Drosophila melanogaster: one gene and its partner. The protein of the gene in region 1 binds, or shares a complex with, the protein of each later gene. Each region holds a gene or a part of one and is shown on either strand. Other genes may lie near its edges.

What was found. Proteins that work in one complex are often made in the same cells at the same time.
Region 2: the proteins of ND-B16.6 (region 1) and ND-15 are in contact, whole or in part, in a cryo-EM structure (PDB 8ESZ), measured with the Drosophila melanogaster proteins. Residues at the interface, in NP_001284943.1 of Drosophila melanogaster: Leu79, Glu82, Arg83, Glu86, Phe87, Gln90, Arg93, Glu97, Glu98, Leu101, Met102, Asn104, Val105, Trp108, Gly111, Thr112, Trp113, Glu116, Pro117, Val118, Phe119, Lys120, Thr121, Leu122, Thr129, Pro130, Ile131, Phe132, Lys133, Glu134; in NP_001162841.1 of Drosophila melanogaster: Phe30, Lys33, Asp52, Leu53, Ser55, Asp56, Glu59, Cys60, Met63, Lys65, Gln66, Leu67, Met68, Arg69, Phe70, Ala72, Met73, Arg74, Glu76, Arg77, Gln80, Glu85, Arg86, Phe92, Ala93, Asp94, Pro95, Pro96, Arg97, Val98.

What each region holds. Positions count from the first base shown.
Region 1 is NC_004354.4:6,347,452-6,353,293, reverse strand, and holds ND-B16.6 (NADH dehydrogenase (ubiquinone) B16.6 subunit), read left to right. Parts: upstream 1-2,892; 5' UTR 2,893-3,001; intron 3,002-3,055; 5' UTR 3,056-3,066; coding exon 3,067-3,172; intron 3,173-3,239; coding exon 3,240-3,598; 3' UTR 3,599-4,278; downstream 4,279-5,842. Other genes in the region: kdn (knockdown), read right to left, coding at 2,340-2,558; CG3847 (uncharacterized protein), read right to left, coding at 4,647-5,789.
Region 2 is NT_033779.5:111,825-118,840, forward strand, and holds the start of ND-15 (NADH dehydrogenase (ubiquinone) 15 kDa subunit), read left to right. Parts: upstream 1-2,901; 5' UTR 2,902-3,167; intron 3,168-3,540; exon of another isoform or gene 3,541-3,888; coding exon of another isoform or gene 3,889-4,293; exon of another isoform or gene 4,294-4,664; intron 4,665-5,145; exon of another isoform or gene 5,146-5,506; coding exon of another isoform or gene 5,507-5,935; intron 5,936-5,995; coding exon of another isoform or gene 5,996-6,252; intron 6,253-6,311; coding exon of another isoform or gene 6,312-6,480; intron 6,481-6,536; coding exon of another isoform or gene 6,537-7,016. Other genes in the region: Sam-S (S-adenosylmethionine synthetase), read left to right, coding at 866-1,545, 1,610-1,718; CG13694 (uncharacterized protein), read right to left, coding at 3,889-4,293; CG4822 (uncharacterized protein), read right to left, coding at 5,507-5,935, 5,996-6,252, 6,312-6,480, 6,537-7,016.

The sequences.
Region 1 (5,842 bases):
TTCTCTTTTGCAAAAGAGAGATGGTGTGTCTTCCTTCTATCGCTTTTGGCAACAACAAAAGCACAGCATAAGCATAGTGACACGCATGAGAAACGAAACGGGAACGAATGAAAGGGGAAAATGGTATTCTCTGTTTTTTTCTCTGCTCTCTCTTGCTCGACCAACTCTCTCTGCCTTACGCTCTTTTTCTTCACTTCGCTCTGCGCCGTGGCATTTGTTTTTGTTGTTGTAAATTTACAAGAATAAGACCCAAAAAAAATCAAGCCGGACTTGTGGAAATTTACCAAAAAAAAATTTAAAGCGGGCGGCCCAAAAAGAGACAAAGTTCGTTAAACCCACAAAGAATATAGAGATTTTTATTTATAGGCATTCCGATGTTGCCAAAAAAAAAAAGAAATGGGCGAATTTCATTTGGCGATTATGTAATGTATTAGAAGACACACATACACACAGGCACACACATACGTACGTACATGCATACACGTTAGCACTTATCATTCGCCAACAACAATGAAGAGAATAAAGTTCTTAATCGCAAGCACATGTCTGGAAATTCTTTTTTTTTCAATTCCAGCGTGACGTGTGTTGAAGAAGAAGAAGAGGATGGGAAAAGAGGAGTAGGATCAGATGAGGGATGGGTTGAGGAAGAGCGAAAGGGAGGGGAGAGGACGAAGGTTTTAACAACAGAAGCGACACACTTTACGGTTAGCTAACTGGAAGGAGGTGGATAGAGATCCCAGGAAAGCATGGGAATTCGATACACTGGTCGAAAAGCAAAGGGGTAATTCGAAAAGTTAAAATGAAGAACTCACCTGTGCCTCGGACAATTTCCGTGCGGAAATGCGATAGAGCGACATGGCAATGCGATTACGTACGGCTGCGAGTAGAAGAAAAACACTTTCGCCTTGGCTAGAAAAAAACACACACACAGAAAAAAATTTGCTTTCCTTTTTCTGGAAGTGAAGTGTTCTTTTCGTGGGTCTCTCGTCTAGCAGCTGCGCGGCAACTGAATGGCGCCAATCGCATTTTCTGCGGGAAGGGGCGGCACGAGCGCAAAGAACACCCGCTAATTCCCACGCAACGGCGTTTTCCGCTCTCCCCCAGAAAGGTCACACTTAAGGTGGGCTGCCTGCTCTGGTACTTGAAAAAAAACGCCCACGCAACTTATTTAATTGAAATAGATGTTATATGCTTTGGATGCATTTTTGCTCTACTAAGATCCATATAAATTGACATTTGCTCGAGTGCAGACTAGTTTTCAATTCCAATTTTAAAAAAGTCTATTAGCTATCCCAGTCGACACCCCCCATTTCCATGCATTTTAAACCGCTCCCTGACATTGTCTGTTTGCTATAGAGTATAAATACTGTCGTGTGAGGGAAATATCTTTTTATTGCGGGAAAATCAAACACCGACTTTTGTAAAAAATAATCATATTTCAACTGAAGTTTTATAATAAAGCTTTGCCGAAAAAGGCCACAGATCAATAAAAAGTTCGATATTCACGAAGACGTTTATCATCATAACTTTGTTAAAACTTGTCGTACAGTTTACAATTTAGTAGTTTTAATTACTTAGTTTTAGTAGTTTTTTTACTTTTAGTAGCGAATTCGCAGTGCTAGGATTCCTACCACTTTTTGAAGGATTTAGGGAAATTAATTTTTGGGTCAATTTTTTTTTTGTAAGGGGTAACATCATCAAAATTTGCAAAAATTGGCCAAAAAATAGAATTCCTATTTTTTGATACAGTTCGACAGGGAATTTAAATACGAGCTCGACGAGGTATTGCATTCCGTATTCAGACAATTATTTTTAAAGTTATGGCAAAAAAAAACTGATTCTTTTATGACGGAAAATCGAAAAAAATTATTTTTGCAAAAATTACAAAATTATAGATGGGCATTTTAATCATAACTTGACTAAAAGTGATCACAAAGCGAAAAGAATAACTGTTTTGAGCAGCTAATTGCGAAGGCTAACCATCCCAATCACTTTTTGACCGATTTGGAAAAACTAATTTTTTGGTAATTTTTCGCATTTTTTGTAAGGGGTAACATCATCAAAATTTGCGAAAAATGGTCAAAAAATAGAATTTCCATTTGTGGATACAGTTTGATAGGGAATTTAAATACGAGCTCAACGAGATATGGAACTCCATATTTGGACAAATATTTTTAAAGTTGTGGCCAAAAAACTGATTCATTTTTGAACGAAATTTGGAAAAACAGATCTTGGCAAATATTAAATAAAATTTGTTTATGGTCATATGGTCTTGGTCACCTTTCTCGCTGTTATGGAAAAATCAGATGAAGGGAGATTTATATTAAAAGAAAACTCACTTGGGCATCCTGCATATCAGGCATGTTCAAGGTTTCCGGAGTCGCCGATTGTTGCTGCTCCTTGAGATTGCCAGTCACGTTATCCTTTTTGGAACGCATTCGGAATGAACTTGGAGTCCCAATGGACTTCGAGTCCCACATAGAATTTTTAGCCAAATAACGTCGTTGAAAGGCAAAATGATGGCCCAAAGAGCCATTTCCGAAACGGCGTACGAACATTACTACTTTTAGCTGTAAATATATACGATATTTCGAAGTTTCTAGTTCGCTTTTTCTCTTGTTTTTGGGAATGTGAAAGCTAGTGATGTAGGATACAAAAATTTATTTTGACAGGAAAGCGATTGCGATAAATATAGGGATGGTATCAAACAGTTCGGAATACTGTATATACTGTAATACCGTATAAACGTTTGCACGTTCTACTGTGACTTGTTGTTGTGATTGTCTTTCGATAATAATATAATATAAATCAAATAAATTGACTCAACTTTTCACGTTAGAAAATATTTTTCAACTTCGTTTGCAGTATTCGCCACTTTTTGGTATATTTTCGTCACTACTTGGTATTTTACCCTGCCCCAAGTCAGGCCACACTGCCTTGGTGTTATGCAAAAAACGTCATTTTTTTGACAATTCAACAGATTTTTTCCCTTTATTCGAGCGTAAGTCCCAGTTTACCGGCCAAACAGCCGACTGATATATACTTTGTACCACAGGAGGAGTCACCATGGCGACGGCAGTGCCGCATTGTCCCCCGAAACAGGACCTTCCACCGCCGGGCGGCTACAAGAAGATACCCTTTGCCCGCGTGCCACCGAAGAGCTACTTCACAGGTGAGCTCCTCCAAATCCCATTGATCTAACCATATATGTGCTGGTAACTATATCAATCCCTCGGCAGGCTTCACCACCATCGGCACCTATGTGGTTGTGACAGCCGTTGGCCTGGGCATCTACTACTTGACCGCCAAGAAGGTGAAGCGCGACGAGATCGAGATGCGTTCCGCCCAGAATGTCATCTTTCCCATTTTGGTCGCCGAGCGGGATCGCGAATTCCTGCGCCAGTTGCGACGCAATCGGGACGAGGAGGCCGAGCTGATGAAGAACGTGCCCGGCTGGGAGGTGGGCACCTGGTATGGTGAGCCCGTTTTCAAGACCCTGCCCGAGGATACCCTGGTCACGCCCATTTTCAAGGAGTTCTACGCCCACTCCGACTGGAAGTCGTACGCCAAGCGTGCCCACTTGAAGCTCTGGTCCTAAATCGGCCTAGTTAATGGATTAGTTAATGCCTAAGCACGCACCTTTTTGTTTGTAGATCATCCGCCTAAGCGCCAAAAAAAGAAAGTATCGACCAATTATAATGTCAGATCAGATTGGCTGAAATACCGATTCTCTTTGTGTGTGTTTAATCCAAATCCTGTGCTGGACCACCCGAGGTAGCCAGAGATTTTTACCAAACCGGGGGCGTTGCCGTCCAGCTGCAATATAGCCCACGGGCAGTGCTCAAAAATGGCCAAATTAGATGGATTTGGTGGCACCAACAGCGGGGAATCCCAGTTGGCTGTGTCACCAAATTAAAATCTAATTGAAAATCTGCTGCTTAGTAAAAATAATAAATTCACAACATAAAACACTACGAAATGCTTATGATTCAATAGGGATTATTAAAATAGCAATGAAGAAATCTTGAGCCATTGAAAAACATTCTTGATTTATTTTATTTTTATTTTTTATTGAATTCAACATCGATTTGACGCTCGTTTTGTGTGTCAGTATTTGGAGTTTCGGGTTATTACACAATAGCGGGTGATCGTGAGCTCTAACATTAAGTAGTCGTAATTATAAGTAAGTAATATATATCTATACATGGGCCATGATCGACATCCGTCGACATGCTTTTATCTTCAATTGTAAACCGCAGAGTTGGCCTGAAATCATATAAAAAAAAAAACAACTGTGTGTGTGGATTTGTGTACAACTAGGTAAAAGATAAACCCTTTCCTTTGGAATCGCTTGACGACAGTGGCCCCCGTTGTGGCTCCCAAAAAATACAATATGGGTGTGGACTTATGTTTGCGTGTAGATAAACAGCAGCTGCTCCTTTCTCCTGGCCCGGGCGGCTAGTGTCCGAGTTTTGCATGGGCGAATCATTAGAAACTAGCTCGTGCTCCAGCTAATCCTACTGCTCCTAATCTACGTACTCCTGCTTGATAACAACGTAACGCACTGGCGGCGGCGATTTCTGCTCATCACGCTCCGGCTCCAGCTGCTGCCGACGCCGCCAGTGCTCATCACGTTGTGGCCGCCTCTACTTCATGTCCCTTCGACGCTTGATGCTGCCATCGCAGGTGGGCAGATGGCGCTGTAGGAAGCCCTCGAAAACGAACTTGCGGCCGCAACGTACGCAGCTGAACTCGCGCTTCTCCTCCACCTGCTGCTTGTGCTGCCGCAGTGCCTCCGCATTAGAGTACTTATCGCGGCAGGCGTCGCAGGCATAGCGTCTCTTCACCTGGCCAACATCGAAGACGACGGTGAAGTTCTGCGAGCAGAAGGCGCACTGGAACTCCTTGACGACCACCTTCTTGCCGCCGTGCTGGGCGGCCAGGGCCACCGCTTCGGCCTCGAGCTTGTCCTGGTGCTTGTGCGACTCCATGTGGGCGGTAAATTTGCTCTCCTCGACGAACTTGCGATAGCAGCGGGTGCAGCGGAAGGGCTGCTCGCCCGTGTGCCGCATCATATGCTCCTTGAGGTAGGCAACCGAGTTGAAGACCTTGCTGCACACTTTGCACTTGCGTTCATCGGTGGAGATCTCGTTCCTCTGCCGCAGGCAGGCGCGCATATGAAGCTTCAGGGAGCCGGCGGCGCTGTAGCAATTGCCGCAATTGGGACAGTAGAAGGTCTTGTTGCGACCATACGGATCTTGTTCGGCATGGTCGATGGTACTCTCGAACACAATAGAGCCCACCTCGTCATCTTCAACCTCCAATTCGCCGCCCTCGTGGTCGACGGTGACAAACTCATCGTCATGCTCTACCTCCTCGCCATCCTCGAGCTCTTCATCCTCCTCGACCTCCTCGCCATGAATATTGGGCACAATATGAAGGATGGTGTGTGTACCATCGCCCTGTTCGATGGTCTCCTCCTCGACGGTGCTGTTCTCGACCAGCTCCTGCAGGGTCACCGCGTGACCGTTCTCATCGATAATCACCTCCTCGGCATTGACCAGCGCCTCGTGGTCACGATCGCTGAGGGTCACCACCGCAGTTTCGGTGTCATCGTCGTCGCCGGTGGTATAGGCATACGTATATTGCGTCTCCTGGCCGTCATCTTCTTGAACGTGCTCCTCATCCTCCTCGGGCTCCTCCTCGGGATCAACCTCGGTATCTTGCTCGATAAGCACGGGCACGATCTCCTCCTTCACCATGGAATACTTCACGCGCTTGGCATTCATATCGAGTTGGCTTTGAATAAGTTTTGATCACTTACGACCTGTTTTGGCAAAAT
Region 2 (7,016 bases), on another chromosome or scaffold:
TTAAACCAATCTCGATACAATCCAATACCAAACTTTAAACGATATTGTGCACTTCGCAATCGCGCTTCGAAATTCACAAAAGGTTTCGATTTCAAAACGTGCAATGTGCTGTTGGCATTGGACCAACAATCGCCTGAGATCGCTGCGGGAGTGCATGTCAACCGTGCCGAGGAAGAGATCGGTGCCGGAGATCAGGTGTGATTTAGAAGCAGTAAAGAAGTAGCAGTCTCGGCAGGCCGGGATCGAAGGCCCTTTCCGAAGAGCAACGCATCTTTTTAATTTTTATTGATAGCAATTTAGTTGCGACTAAAATATTCATGGTGGTAGGGCGTTTATAAGCTCTTTGGAAGGGGTGTTGTCGCCACTTCTATAATTTCTGTTTATCGTTTCCTTTATATATTTTCGTAACTAATTGAAGTAGTGTATGACGACTTTATTGCTATTTAATTTTAAATTCATCTGTTTGCCACTATATCATAATAGCGCTGCAATATTGCTCCAACCGACCTACCAACCATATGATCGTCTTTTTTGTTAATTGAAGCTGCCAAATCCATATCATTTAACTTTTGACTTTTCAGTCGATACCATAATTAGAATAGCAGACACAAAACTAAGGCACACTACTGCATATATATACATCACTAACATAATTTTGTAAACAACTTTTTGACTCCTAAGTAGCAACAATTAATTCATACCCGAATCTATCACCCATGCTTGATTTACCCTTTCCTAACCCAAATGTGTTTTATTTATCTAACGCTACTGATTCTTTTTGGTTTTGGTTACTTTTAAGTGAATAATTAATGATTAATTAATTAGTGATAGAGATTATTAATGAAGCGAAATAAACTTTTTGCAGGGTATCATGTTTGGATATGCCACCGACGAAACCGAGGAATGTATGCCCCTAACCGTCGTTTTGGCTCACAAACTAAACGAAAAGATTGCTGAGCTGCGTCGCTCAGATGTGTTCTGGTGGGCTCGCCCCGATTCCAAAACACAAGTAACCTGCGAGTACCTCTTCAATCAGGGATCAGCAGTTCCCAAGCGTGTCCACACTATTGTAGTGTCCATGCAGCATTCTGAAAAGATATCGTTAGAAACCCTGCGCTCGGAAGTAATGGAGAAAGTTGTTAAAGTAGTCATTCCCGCCAAATACATTGATGCCAACACCATTGTCCACATCAATCCTTGTGGGCTTTTTGTAATCGGTGGACCAATGGGTGACGCTGGGCTTACAGGAAGAAAAATCATTGTAGATACTTACGGAGGCTGGGGCGCCCACGGCGGCGGTGCATTCTCTGGCAAGGACTTCACCAAGGTTGACAGATCAGCTGCATATGCAGCACGCTGGGTGGCCAAATCACTGGTTAAGGCCGGTCTCTGCAAGCGCTGCCTTGTCCAAGTGTCCTACGCCATAGGTCTTGCTGAGCCTCTCTCCATAACTGTGTTCGACTACGGAACTTCTCACAAGTCACAAAAAGAACTTCTGGATATCATCCGTCGAAACTTTGACCTCAGGCCCGGCAAGATTGTCAAGTAAGTGTCAAACTCTAGATGCTAAAAAATATTTCATAACAATTGTCTATATTTTTGTTTTAAGGGACCTAAACCTGCGCCAGCCGATATACCAGCGAACAAGCACTTATGGACACTTCGGTCGCGCGGGCTTCTCGTGGGAGGAGGCCAAGCCTCTGGAGATTGACAACTGACTAGACGCTGAAGCGTTGCAACCGCAGTCACCATATGCTAAAAGGTCGAAGCTATCCTTATATTCATCAGCGTCAAAATTAACAGATACCCAAGCACCAACGTAATTTTTAGTGTCGTTTTTAAAGCCTAAAGTCAGAGGAGAAGGCGGCATAGGCTTGCCAACTCTTATGGGCTTTCTTCTCTAACTTATGCTGTGCTCTTCGCTATATAATTTAAACCATTCTGATGTGTGTAGTCTTCTCACACGGAACTAGTTTTAGTCGTCTTAATACCCGCATATATACCTAATAGAGAGCTCCAAAAGAATTGATGAGCTTTAGTTATGCATATACATAGTATAGTGTCGGTCAGTTCAGTAAAAATTAAAGCAGTAGTTAGTACCTCCTTCAATTATCATGCAACTTAATTATGTTGGTGTCTATGGAAATTGTATAAAACAATTAAATCCGTTGCCTAGAAATTATGCAACATTCTCATGTCCCCATTGTAAACTTATTTTTGTCTCTTTTAACATTTCTATTTGTTGTATGCGTTGTATATGTTAAACCTAAAGTTTTAAACAACTCGATTGTATGTACATTACACTCTGTCTTTGTATTTTCTGTAACCAACCATAAGATAATGTATTTTCCTTTACAAAAATATATTAAAGATAAATATGAAAAGTATAATTTTACCGGTATGCGCAGAATGAAGACTTTAATCGTACAAACAACAGAATTTGCAATGTCTTTACAACCAAATAAAGTCATCATAACCCTGGTTTTTCACAAAAACATAATGAGACAGCGCCCATAAAAAATTACAAATATTTGTGTACAAGAAACCCAATTTTCTTTAAAAGAAATCATTTTTCATATGAATATTGCAATAAATTTCATGACAGTTTATTTTTAGTTATTGTATTGTTTCGCCTACTATATGGGATATTTGCAACAATATTAATATTTATTTTTCTGAAATTCGGTAATTTATAGAAATGTGTAAAGATTTTAGTAATTCAAAATTTGAATTTAACAGTCTTATCCAGACGCCAAGATCCAGGGAATGCAATCGATATATCGATATGTCACAATCAACAGTTATTCGCGCAGCCATTGTGATTAATTCTTTAACGGTTTGCGTATTGGTTTTTGCGCAGAGCTAAGCAATGTAAATTCACAAATCTGACGGAGTTCCCAGCTGCCGGACTTAGTGTAGTGAAATTAATAGTAGAAGTAGTTTTATTAGTGTCCCAAGTGTTATTCTCAGCGGTCTTGCAAAAACAACAGGTCACTCCTGTGCGCTATTTAACCAACGCAATTGATCTGCATGTCGAAGATTTGTACGCGATCGCAGGCAAGAGAGGCTGGTAAAGATTCCGTTGTTTAAATTAATTCCCATGATTGCATTTAGTATGACGCCCTATAAGCTGTACCAACAGCGCGGAATGCTGCATTCGTTAAAAGGTAAATGATTGAAATTGTTTGTTTCTTTAAATATATTTATATGCATATGTTTGTGTGAATGTGAGCTTGCGAGCTACATATTTATATACGTACATATGTACATATGTACCAATCAAAGTCGCAAAAATTGGTGTTTAAAATTTTGATTGCAAAAGGTTACGATCTTCATATCATTTTTAAGCATGCGTTTTGGTTACCGTCAGATTCAGGATACAGTTAAGATAACATACAAACTGTATATGTATGTACATAAATGACATACACATGTAGGTTTTAAGTCGCGCAAGTACAGTTTCAGTATACAGTTATAATAACATTAGAACTGTATACATATGTACAATAATGACATGTAAACATGAAAACGAACATACATACGTTAAAAGGAATTGTATCTCGGACACATTTTATTTTGTTTGAATTACATTTGGAGCCGTACAATCTTATTTATGTAGGTAATACAATTTTCCTTGATAGTTGTTATATCTGTTGTCAAGCTGATGTCCTATAAGAGAGCCTTTACTGTCACACTGGTCCAAGCTGGTAGGAGAATCATCCCATTCAAATTCATCCATATTTGTGTCCTCATCGCTTTTCGAATCTTCATTATCCAGGGAGGGAATGAAGAATTTTGAGCTTTATGTTTTGAAATGCTATTTCGAGTTTTTTGGTCATGAATGTGACTCTTTGATTGAGCAAAACCACTCTAAATGAATCATTTTGTTTAGCAGCCACCATCATGTTGGTATTGAAAGATGGGGACCACATAGCCATGACCTTGTCTTCTTAGATCGTTGGCACAACGTACTTGATTGTGGAACTCGCAGAGCGTGGCAAATGTCATATTGCGGCCATTGCGGAGAATGCAGACAGGCCGGTAGTACCGGGGACAGCTGCGCTCGCACGGATCCTCATCCCGGTCCAAGCCGGCGGCAGTAGCCCTGCCATCATCCTCTTCATATTCATTATCGTTTGAATTCTCATCACCGTCGAAATTTTGATCATAATCTAGAGCTGTGTAGTAGTTATAGCTTCCCAAGTCTCTGTTGCTGTGATGGTCTTGCCAGCTCCATTCCTCCACAATGGTGTGCTCCGTTTGCACCTGTACTGCGAATGACAGGTGGAGCATGGCCAAAACAAGTGCTATGAATGCGTAAAACATACTGCTTTGGCTCCTATCGATCAACTGTATTCACGGCAGTCCAGTTTCCTTGCCTCTTAAATAGACAACTGTGCGCCAATCCACAGCGACGGCAGTTGTTCAAATAATTTCCATAATTAACTTTGTCGGTTTTTATTGTGACGGCTCATATCACAATTGATAGAGCTACCAAATAATTTGAATACTTTAAAGTGAATCAAGGGAACAGGCGAAGTCATACTTTGCCGTTCTGACTTAAAATTAGTCTAAAGGCAGATAGAGTTTGGTAACGAACGGCGCAGATCTTTAACTCAATCCTAAATTCTAATCTTGGGCAAGACTTGATTCTAACTCTTATGCAATTTGAAGCATATCTACATCTATATATTTTTATACCCGTGACTCGTAGAGTAAAAGGGTGTGCTACATTCGTTGAAAAGTATGTAAGAGGCAGAAGGAAACGTTTCCGACTGTATAAAGTATACATATTCTTGATCAGGATCAATAACCGAGTCGATCTAGACATGTCCGTTTGAACGTCGAGGAACTATAAAAGCTAGAACGTTGAGATTCAGCACACAGATTCTAGAGACAGATATTTGTTGACCTTTGTTACCACGCCCACTCAAAAATTTTACACAATTTTAAAAAATGTGTTGAAATTTTTTCATTTTTGATTAGTCTTGTAAAAATCGATAGATCGATTTTCTAAAAAACTTTTTGCAACTCCCTAAAACCGCCCAAAACAGCCACACCCAGAAAAATTATGAAATTTCGCGTCCGCATTTACACTAGCTGAGTAAGGGGTATCTGATATTCGGGGAACTCGACTATAGTATTCTCTCTTGTTTATATTTAATATTTCCATGATATACATATAAACTTACGCCATCGCATAAAAAAGTAAACCCACTAATATTTTTTACATATTTGGTGAAAACAATTTTATGCGTACTTAATAATTTATTCGTAGTGTTTCTTCTGCCTTGTTAACAATATGATCGAATTATAGTAATTTATTGTTCCCTTGATTATATTTGTATTCTTGATCATAAACTTTTATTCAGAATCCAATATCACTTTGATAGTTTATTAATATTATTGAAGCCCATAAATAATATGGGAGGTTAAGACTGTCCCCTGAAATACCGCTTAAAATAATTTTTCTAGCACCGAGGTCAAACCGCCCATGTTGTTAATGTTAGTAATTGTACGAAGTAAAGTTAAAATATTTCGTTAACAGCTGTATGACATATGCAAAAATGGGGCTGACCTCGGAGTGTTTCAGTCGCAGTCTAATCATAAAGTATGCTGCTACGGTGAACAGCAAATAAAAACTCATCAAGCAAGATAGAGACCACAAATAGTGCATGTTTTCGAATCCTAAAAAGGCTAACAAAACTTTCGACTTTTTAAATGAGCAAAAGATTTCCGTGTCTTCGCAAATTGTGTCGGCGCGTCCGTAGTCGTACAAGGATGCGACTAGGCCTTCCATACTATGGCGAAGGTAGCTAAGATGCATGAGAAACCTCATAAGAGGGGATATGTATGTTCCTCCGCCATACCCAATGCCGTAAATGGAAAGCAGGATCAGCGGCACGGCGAGAACTGGCCCCATGAACATTGCATTCTAAAGTATAAGTGAACTAATCAGGATATATTAAAAATAAATGTGCGCCAAATCGCTTACCACTAAGCTCAGTCTACTGGAGATCAACAAGCCAAAACTGTCGGAAGTTAGGGCCGTTACGAAAGCTATTGTAAATAGCATGGCAAAGCGGAACCATTCAAGTGGTTGGCTGGACATTAAGTACACAATGGATAGATAAATAACGGCCAAAATAAACATAGATGGTAGCTTTGAGGTAACCATTGCTGCGTAGTAGGAGCTCAGACGGTACCACTGGTTGTTGTACTCCCTTTTTAACAGATTGATTTCCGTGGGAACTTAAATGTAGGTATTTATTATTAAGAATTACTGCTTGAGGTTAAAATATAGTACTTACAATATAAGAGCACAGGCATCATAGGAAGGTAGAGGTATGCTATCACAATGGTGAACATGAAACCGAAGTTAAAAAGCGCTTTAGAGGCCGAGGTTCCCATACCAAAGTAGAGCGAACCCACCAGTAAAGCAAGAACGATGTTCATGTAGAACTTAAGCTTGATGTACGACTACGGAAAAAATAAAATTACATTGCCTTTCTACGTCGTTTTCTAAGTGCACTCACCTTATCTCTCCACATTTGGATTAGCATACGCACAAGCAATAGCTTGTACTGTAGCCACCAGCTACATTTGGCCTCCAAAAGTTTTGGGCTAATCTCTTCGTCAAACTGATCCCTTTCGTAAAACGACGATGCCCCCGATGTGGTGTCGGTTTTGGTTGTTGTTGTTTCACCTTCCACTGCTGGAGGACTCCATCGCGCAACTTTGCCGTTGCCCACGGCTTCTACCATTGGCTCGTGATAGGACCCGCCATACTCAAGGCAAGCAACTTCGATAATGAAGTCAGCCGGGTTGTAGGTTATTGGACAACAAAGCCCAAAGTTCTTCAAGAAAGGTACAATGTTGGACCCCTTTCCTTGGTAGACGCACTGGCCTTCGGCTAGAACGTAGACTGCATCGAGCATCTCGAAGATCTTGGCAGATGGCGTATGGATGGAGCAGATCACAGTGCGCCCCCCGGCGGCCAAAACTTTGAGTAGGGC